Saccharomyces cerevisiae S288C: one gene and its partner. Changing the gene in region 1 together with any one later gene gives a genetic interaction. Each region holds a gene or a part of one and is shown in the gene's direction. Other genes may lie near its edges.

Region 1 (3,767 bases):
GAAAACGCTAAACATGCCAAGACCGTTTTCCAAAGGGTTAGCTATGATGGACAGACGAGTATTGTAAAGTGTAAACCATTGACAGGTAGAACTCACCAAATAAGAGTCCATTTGCAGTACTTGGGATTTCCCATAGCAAATGACCCTATATACTCGAACCCAGATATCTGGGGTCCAGATTTGGGCCGCGGTGGACTTCAAAACTATGATGACATCGTTCTGAAACTAGACGCTATTGGCAAGACTAATCCTGCAGAGAGCTGGATTCATCCTCATAGCGAGGGTGAATACTTGCTTGGCCGTCAGTGCGAAGAATGCGAGGCTGAAATGTACACAGATCCCGGTACTAATGATCTCGACCTCTGGCTGCATGCCTTCCGGTACGAGTCATTGGAAAGAAATTCGGATACGCAAAAACCTCTCTGGAGTTATAGAACAAAATACCCTGAATGGGCCTTAGAGCCACATCGCCGATATATGGAAATGGCCGTTAAGGAAGCTGGTAAGTGTGGCCCGACAAAGACTGCTTTTAGTGTTGGTGCCGTTCTTGTTCATGGAACTCAAGTACTTGCCACAGGATATTCAAGAGAGCTACCAGGAAACACTCATGCAGAACAGTGTGCTTTGATAAAGTACTCGCAGTTACACCCGAACTGTCCCACTATAGTCCCTATGGGAACAGTGCTCTATACAACCATGGAACCCTGTTCCTTCAGGCTAAGTGGCAATGAGCCTTGCTGCGATAGAATCCTGGCCACCCAAGGTGCCATTGGTACTGTCTTCGTGGGGGTTATGGAGCCCGATACATTTGTTAAAAACAATACAAGTTTGAACAAGCTGGAATCGCACGGTGTGAACTACATACAAATACCAGGCTACGAGGAGGAGTGCACCATCATTGCCTTCAAAGGCCACGATAATAGTGACGACAAAGCTTAGACTATTTAGCATATATATTATCATGTAATCTTACATCATATCTACAATAACCACTCATTACTGGAAACGGAAAAAGGCGCCACCGAAAATTTTGAGTAAAAAGAATGGAATTAACTTCAACCACAACACAGACAAAAAACACTAGATAGTGAACCAAAAGAAAGCACAACACCAAACATGAGCAGCATTCCAGCTGGCACTGATCCTGGGTCCTGCGGTGCTAATTTCAAGAATGACCGCAAGCGCAGAGATAAGATCAACGACCGTATTCAAGAACTATTGAGTATCATTCCCAAAGACTTCTTTAGAGATTATTACGGCAATTCTGGTAGCAATGACACGTTAAGTGAATCCACTCCCGGTGCGCTTGGGTTGTCCAGCAAGGCCAAAGGTACAGGGACCAAGGACGGAAAGCCCAACAAGGGCCAAATTCTCACACAGGCGGTAGAGTACATATCACATCTACAAAATCAAGTGGACACACAGAACAGAGAGGAGGTGGAACTGATGGTGAAGGCCACTCAGTTGGCCAAGCAGACAGGCACCATTGTCAACGATATAAACTTAGAGAACACCAGCGCTGAAGTCGCCCTGTCCAGGATTGGCGTGGGACCGCTGGCCGCAACAAATGATGACTCAGTAAGACCGCCAGCAAAGAGGTTGAGCTCCTTCGAGTACGGAGGGTATGGTGAGTACGGTAATGGTAGCTAAAAGTACTTCTGACTCTCACTATTGCTATGTTGTGATAACCCTCGTTGGTAGTGATACGAACACTTCTCTTCTTTTTTGTTGTTTTTGTGAGAAAAAAAAATCTAAATGAACATATTGCTAATGCAACGGATAGTTAGTTTTATTTTGGTGGTTAGTCAAGGGCGATACTTTCATGTTGGAGAGCTGACCATGACAATGTTGAAAAGACCTCAAGAAGAAGAGTCAGATAATAATGCTACGAAGAAGCTGAAAACGAGATTAACGTACCCTTGTATCCTCGGGAAGGATAAGGTGACGGGCAAATTCATCTTTCCTGCAATCACTAAAGATGATGTTATGAATGCAAGACTGTTTTTGAAGGACAACGATTTGAAAACTTTTTTAGAATATTTTTTGCCAGTGGAAGTCAACTCGATCTACATTTATTTCATGATAAAATTGCTGGGATTCGACGTCAAAGATAAAGAACTATTTATGGCGTTAAACTCTAATATCACTTCTAATAAAGAACGTTCTAGTGCGGAACTATCGTCTATACATGCAAAAGCTGAAGATGAGGACGAGTTGACCGATCCCTTAGAGAAAAAGCATGCAGTAAAATTAATCAAAGATTTACAAAAAGCCATAAATAAAGTCCTTAGTACAAGGCTTCGATTACCCAACTTCAATACGATTGATCATTTCACCGCCACTTTGCGTAACGCCAAAAAAATTTTGGTTCTGACGGGCGCTGGAGTTTCCACTTCTTTAGGTATTCCCGATTTTAGATCATCTGAGGGGTTTTATTCTAAGATCCGACACCTTGGATTGGAAGACCCTCAGGATGTTTTCAACTTGGATATATTCTTACAGGACCCTTCTGTTTTTTACAATATTGCCCATATGGTTTTACCACCAGAGAACATGTATTCTCCGTTGCACAGCTTCATTAAAATGCTACAAGACAAGGGCAAACTATTAAGAAACTACACACAGAATATAGATAACTTAGAATCGTATGCAGGGATAGATCCTGATAAATTAGTGCAATGTCACGGTTCATTCGCCACTGCATCTTGTGTGACTTGCCATTGGCAAATACCTGGTGAGAAAATATTCGAAAATATTAGAAACCTTGAACTACCATTATGTCCCTACTGTTATCAAAAAAGAAAACAATATTTTCCTATGAGTAATGGCAATAATACGGTGCAAACAAACATAAATTTCAACTCACCCATTTTAAAGTCGTATGGTGTTTTGAAACCAGACATGACATTTTTTGGCGAGGCCCTGCCATCGCGATTTCATAAGACCATCCGCAAAGATATACTGGAATGCGATCTATTGATTTGTATAGGAACAAGTTTGAAAGTGGCTCCTGTGTCTGAAATTGTCAATATGGTACCTTCACATGTTCCGCAGATTTTGATCAATAGGGATATGGTTACACATGCAGAGTTTGACTTAAACCTGTTGGGATTCTGTGATGACGTGGCCAGTCTCGTAGCTAAAAAATGCCATTGGGATATACCGCATAAAAAATGGCAAGATCTAAAGAAGATAGATTACAACTGTACGGAAATAGATAAAGGTACGTATAAGATTAAGAAACAGCCACGAAAGAAACAACAGTAAATTCCAAAAAAAAAAAAAAAAAAAAAAAGAAGAAAACACAGAAGGGGGAGTAAAAATAAGTATACCGCTGCTATTGCATATATTCGAGCATTTCATTCATGTATTTATTAATATGACCAGATAATAAAGAATATTCAATCTCAATTTCTTTAACTTCAACTTCGAAATCTTTTTGTAATTGTTTAATTTCATCATTTAATTTATTGATTTTACCACTGATCAGTTCCTCTTGAATGAAAATGTCCGTTTTGTCAATCTTAGGTTTGATTTCATTTTCATATTTGATTTGTAGATCCATCAATTTAGTATCATTTAGGCGCGACTCTTCTTTAGTATCTTGCGATAGCTTTTCCAAATTCTTGAGTTGCAAATCTAACTGTTCTTGTAAGATTTCTAATTTATACATAATACCTGTTTCCAATACATTCATCAATTTCAGCTTATTGTTGATTAAATTTTGCTTTAATCCCACAAGTTCCGTTTCAGTTCGATTAGACTCT
Region 2 (5,768 bases), on another chromosome or scaffold:
TAAATCTATAATTTTTTTCACAGGATGCAATAGCATGTCATCATCTTTTCTGTCGAACTCTTGATCCAATGTCAAGTACCTGTCAATGATTACGTCACCTCTATCATTTTGCATGATCTTTTCACCCCTTAATTTTCTGAATAACTTCGAAGAGAAGAACCTTGCCCAGAACTCTGGTTCTTTGAAATTTTTGGGCACATTATCAGTGTAAGCTTTCTTTACAATTGGATAGTTCTCAAAAATATTCAAAATTTTTTCTCTTGACAAATTAACATTGACTTTGTTTTCCGATGAAGCCACCGGCTTGATAGTTGACAAAACGTTGTAAGGCCCAACTTTTTGAGAAGTAGATAAGGCAAAAGCCCTCAATAACGGAATTCTAGTTGACCAAAATTCAGATGGAGGCAAACCGGCGTTAATGACTGTTTCCTGAAAAACCTTCATTAGAACTTTGTTTCCTTTCAGTAAAGATTGCTGTAGCTTTAAATTGGTCAACAATTTTTCTTTAGAGAGAGAATCATCTAGTTTGGCTGTATTAATCAACGGAGCCCCATTATTCAATTGTGGTGTATCGAGATGTGGTGTGGGAGTCCCTGCAGTAACAGAAGAAGAGCTCATTGGTGTTTCTGTGTGTTGCGCAGACTCCTCTCTTCTTCTCTTTTCTTCGTAGATATCTGCATCTTTATACCGTGAGATGATTTGTTGAAGGGTCATCTTGATATTATCCATAACTGTTCTATTGTTAAACGAAAACATATGACGTTGCGGTTTGGGCACAACCTCATTTCCTTCGTTGTCTTTTCTCTTTTTTGACTCATCCACTTTCCCGATTAGCCTCAACATCATTTTTTCACTGGAAGCAGGGGTAGCTTGTAACTTGTCAATAGTGGATAAGACAACTGTGTGAACCTTGTCACCGTCCGTAGACCTCCATGTCAATTCTGCGGGTGAAACATCCTCATTTATGGCAATTATCCCAGAAACTTTCTCAAAAATGGCAGCTCCGGAATGTGACATTATGGTTTACTTTTATTTTTTCCCTACCCCTACCCTAGGTTAAATATTATTACTTTCACTGGGAAAGCTTATTATGCTAAATTTCAGTATTGTCTAAAAATTGCGTCAAAAACGAGCAGCCTTATCATGTCCCACGGGTTGTGGCTTTTCTAGTTTACTGTCGAATCATACTATCATTTTTAAAGATTGGTTTCCATTTTCGTTAGACCGATATCCATTACTTACACTCCTTTCATATCTTTCCCACGTGGCCTTAACTACGTTTACTAATACTTACTATGTAAGTCACAATTTCCATTAATTTGCGTCGTTCAACAAGATAAATTGCTGTAATTATATGACTGCGACGCGACGGCGACGTCAAATTTTTTTTTTTTTTCCTGAATGGAAAAGGGAAAGGACAACAAATGATGGCAAAATATTTCAGTTTGGATTCACAAGTTCTCCACTTGCATCCGCTATAGATAGCCACACTTGTTTCATTCAGCGCTTGTGATACCACGATTGTATCATTACTAGTGGCTTTAATTTTTTTTTTTTTTTCATCTATCCTTTTAATACCATTTGTGTTTGAAATAAACTGCTAAAAGAATTATACACAGGCATATTTTATCAAAAGTGTCAGCAAACAGAGCACAAGGGACTTGTTTAAAGTAGCTAAGTATCATAAAAATTTAGTCGCTAGTGGTATTATTGAGATCAAACGAAAAGTTTCATACATAATTAACAAAATTCGTTTGTTGCGGGGATGTCTGAGAACACCACAGCCCCTTCTGATAACATAACCAATGAACAGAGACTTCCGTCTGGACCCAAAGATGACGTAGATACGTTAGCACTTACCAGTGCTCAAAATCAAGCTAATAGTTTGAGGAAGCTAGATACAGATGCGAACGCTAAAGCTTTGCCATCCATCACAGACATACCAGTCAGTGATGATTCTGATATAAAACGACAAGTTGGCTCTGGTTTTGGTTCAAATCCGCTTCATATAAAAGATTCCGAGGCCTTTCCACATTCATCTATTGAAGCCCTAAAAGAGGGTATGGACAAAGTCACAAAACAATGCAACGATTTGAAGACGGCTTTGCTTTCCAAAGACACTTCCCTCACTGATTCTGTGCAGGATTTGTTTAACTCATTAAAAGTTTTATCACACAACCAATCAGTTTTGGAAAATAAGCTGGATGATGTCATGAAGAATCAAGTAAATACTGACATATTGGTCAATAATTTGAATGAACGATTGAACAAATTATCGACAATGTTGCAAAATACTTCGAAAGTAAATCACTCTAACCTTCTCATAGAAAATTCATCCAACAATACCAGTTCACAGCATAATACCTCTTCTTCTCGAAGGGGACCTGGCAGGCCAAGAAAAGATGCCTCGACCTCCACAATGAATAAGTTAGTGTCAAACGCAGCCTCGGTCAATCTCAAAAGTGCATCCAATCAGGGTGCTCCTTTCTCACCAGTAAATATTACTTTACCGACTGCCGTAGTACAAACGTCTAAATCCAAAAGGTATTTTGTGGAACCATCAACGAAACAAGAGTCGCTTTTATTATCTGCCCCTTCATCATCAAGAGATGATGCTGATATGTCCTTGACTTCCGTACCGCAAAGAACGAACAATGAAAATGGTAAAGAGCGACCATCCACTGCTAATTCTAGCTCCATCACACCAACACCTGTTACGCCGAACAACTTAATTCAAATCAAAAGAAAAAGAGGCAGGCCCCCAAAAAAGAGAACAGTGGAAACAATGATATCCAATTCCACGGATACGATAGATAAGTCAGATGCATCTAATCGGATTAAAAACGAGATTCCAATAAATTCCTTGCTTCCATCTTCCAAATTTCATCAAATACCATCATCTCCATCCAATCCTGTGTCACAACCGGCTCCGGTTCGGACTTCAAGGTCAGCCACACAAGAAATAGACATTAAAAGTTTAGAACTGGCCTCTCTAATTTCAACTAATGGTGATCCAAACGCAGAGGATTCGAATACTACTGATACTGTTCATAATAACGTGGAAGGAAAGGTAAATGTTGAAGAAAATAAAACCGAGAAGGAGAAAATAATAACCATCAAATCATCCAGCGAAAATAGTGGTAATAATACGACCAATAATAATAATACTGACAACGTCATTAAATTTTCAGCTAATTCAGATATCAATAGTGATATTCGCCGATTAATGGTTAACGATCAGTTTTCATTAAGTTATGACGCCAGCGGTAATATTACGGTCAAATTACCACCCGTTTCCTCTCCAGCAGCAGCAACAGCTGCCGCTGCTGCGGCGGTTACGTCAGAGATGAATAGACAACAAAGAGAATTAGATAAAAGACGTGATTCAAGGGAGAAAATGCTTGTTAATATGAAATATAACGATCGCGATAAAGCAAAGTCATTTATGGAGTCTAATAAGAAACTCTTAAAAGCAATGAAAGAAGAAGAGAGGAGGAAAAGAATGACTTCGATAATACATGATAATCACTTGAACTTAAATTTGAATGAGATCTCCACCCGTTCAAAGATAAAAAGTGCAGAAAAACCAACAACTAAAGGTTCTTCAATGTCGCCAAAACCAAGATCGGCCTCCATCAGCGGCATTTCAGACCACCAACAGGAAGGATATCAACCATTAGAGCAAGAAAAACTCGTCGATATTGACAATGAGGGCTCAAACGCAAACAGCGACTCTCTCAAGATGGGTCTAACCATATCCGCTGCCGATACGGTTCACAAAGTTGGAATACAGTCCATGCTAAATTCTGGGGAAGAGGCAATTACCAAGGAGAATGCAGAATATGAAAGAAAGACCCCGGGAGATGAAGAAACTACCACGTTCGTTCCATTAGAAAACTCACAACCTTCGGACACGATAAGGAAAAGAACAGCAGGCGATGACGGTGCATTGGATCAAACAGAGAATACGAGCATATCACCAAAGAAGAGACGCACAGAAGATCATACAAAAGGTGAAGAAGATGAGGGAGAAAGGGGTGTTGGTAATAGCGGAACGCTGGCCACCGTGGAGAATGTCTCAGGAGACATCTCCGCAGATTTATCCAAAGGTACTTCATCTATCCATAACGATACTGAGTCTGCTAACGATAGTAGCAATGGCAACGGAAACCTCGGTTTGGGTACAGAGTCACGCAATACATTGTTAACGGCAACTCCCATTGAATTAATCTGCCGGGAAGGCTTCTTCTACCGGAGAGATATTCCGGACGTTCCCATTACCACAGGAGCGTACCTGGAATTTAAATTCAAGGCGAAAGAAGAGGAATTGATCAACTCTAGCATCAATGAGGAGGATTATGCTGCTAAATCAAAGCATGAAAAAATGAATGCGCATTTCTTCAAGCCTGATATTCAAGAAGAGACGGAACTTGCCTTTGAAATTTTGAGCAAGACAACGCTGACAGAGAAATACGTTAACAGTTTGGAGTACTTCTTGATGGAATTCAGGTGGGAGAATAAACTAGTTGGTCTAGGCTTAAAACTTCGGGAATCCAAAAGAACCTGGCAAAGGAGAAAGGCGTTATTTGCCCTTTTCGAATTTTGGAGAGACCAATCAAGAGACAAAAGAAGATTCCACAACTACACCATCCTGCATGCGGTGAAAGAGATGGAAAACTACAGAATATTTATTAATCGATCCGTTTCATGGTTCTACAACCATATTACCCTGCTAAAAATGATCCTCTACGACCTCTGCGACAATGTGACCACTCAATGGAGAGAGTGGATGTTTCCCCATAACGAAACACTGCCGGCATTGGGTCAGGACGGCATTAACGAAGACAATCTGAATGAAACCATCGACAACATGTTAATTTTTGACTTCCTTGATGACGGTTCAGAAAACAACCAGGTCAAATATTCCAGAATCATACCGCCAGATATCCGTTAAGCTGGTCCGTACGTTGGGGCAGTTTCGAGAATAGATAAAAAAATGAAAAATAAAAAAAAATAAAAAAAACACAAAATAATGGACCGTTACTATGCCCAACCAAGTAACCTCCCAACTTATTTGGAACATTACATATTTAGCGCTTAACATTACATACATATTTAGCGCTTAACATTACATACACCTTTATCGACGAATTTGTAACTATTTCTTACTCTTGCGCTGAGGAACGCCCCAGTCGTACAAAAGCACCTCTGCATACTAAGAAACTTAAACTATCGCCATTGTCTCAAAATAGCAAAAAACGCAAAAAGCATACCGCTGGGCGCTTATCTATATTAACCTACACGAGAAAAGAAACATGATTGACTGCGTCAGATTCAAAAACCTGCAAAGTTTGTTTTTATAATTTTGGCGTTCAGCAAGCGCGCGGCTCCGCTCCATTAATATTCCAGAAAAAGAAATTCCTTCTTTGGGTGTTGTGTATTGCTACTTTGGGCAGGCGCGACCGGGCCAAAAGAATGCGGCACCCGGCAAAGACGCGTTCTGGCCCCTGAAGACTTAAGCACTGGAATGGCTCCGAGGATTGGTCACCCAGAAACAGGTGCAGACCAACCATTTCGAGATCTAGATGTTGCCTATTTCTCGAGGAAACGCTGCCGTTATCGCCATGTTTGGTGGAACAATTGTGAAACGTGATCAATTCGTGTTTGCAAGCTAGTGATCATTCGCATCCGAAAAAGAAACTGAAAATGTAAAACTCCAGTAAAACGAGACCTGTTGATGGATTGTTTCGTGTCTGGTATATATTATT

Evidence for each region.
Region 2: of HST1 (region 1) and SUM1, changing one suppresses a phenotype caused by changing the other (phenotypic suppression), as found in Saccharomyces cerevisiae (5 studies listed by BioGRID, with this or other methods).

What each region holds. Positions count from the first base shown.
Region 1 is NC_001147.6:199,868-203,634, reverse strand, and holds HST1 (histone deacetylase HST1), read left to right. Parts: upstream 1-1,755; coding exon 1,756-3,267; downstream 3,268-3,767. Other genes in the region: bifunctional DRAP deaminase/tRNA pseudouridine synthase RIB2, read left to right, coding at 1-939; RTG1 (Rtg1p), read left to right, coding at 1,117-1,650; kinetochore-associated Ndc80 complex subunit NUF2, read right to left, coding at 3,338-3,767. UniProt on the Saccharomyces cerevisiae protein: NAD-dependent histone deacetylase involved in telomeric silencing.
Region 2 is NC_001136.10:1,080,314-1,086,081, reverse strand, and holds SUM1 (Sum1p), read left to right. Parts: upstream 1-1,765; coding exon 1,766-4,954; downstream 4,955-5,768. Other genes in the region: TFIIH/NER complex subunit TFB1, read right to left, coding at 1-1,017. UniProt on the Saccharomyces cerevisiae protein: DNA-binding protein that specifically binds the regulatory region of middle sporulation genes (MSE). Required for the repression of middle sporulation genes during vegetative growth. Represses expression via the recruitment of histone deacetylase HST1.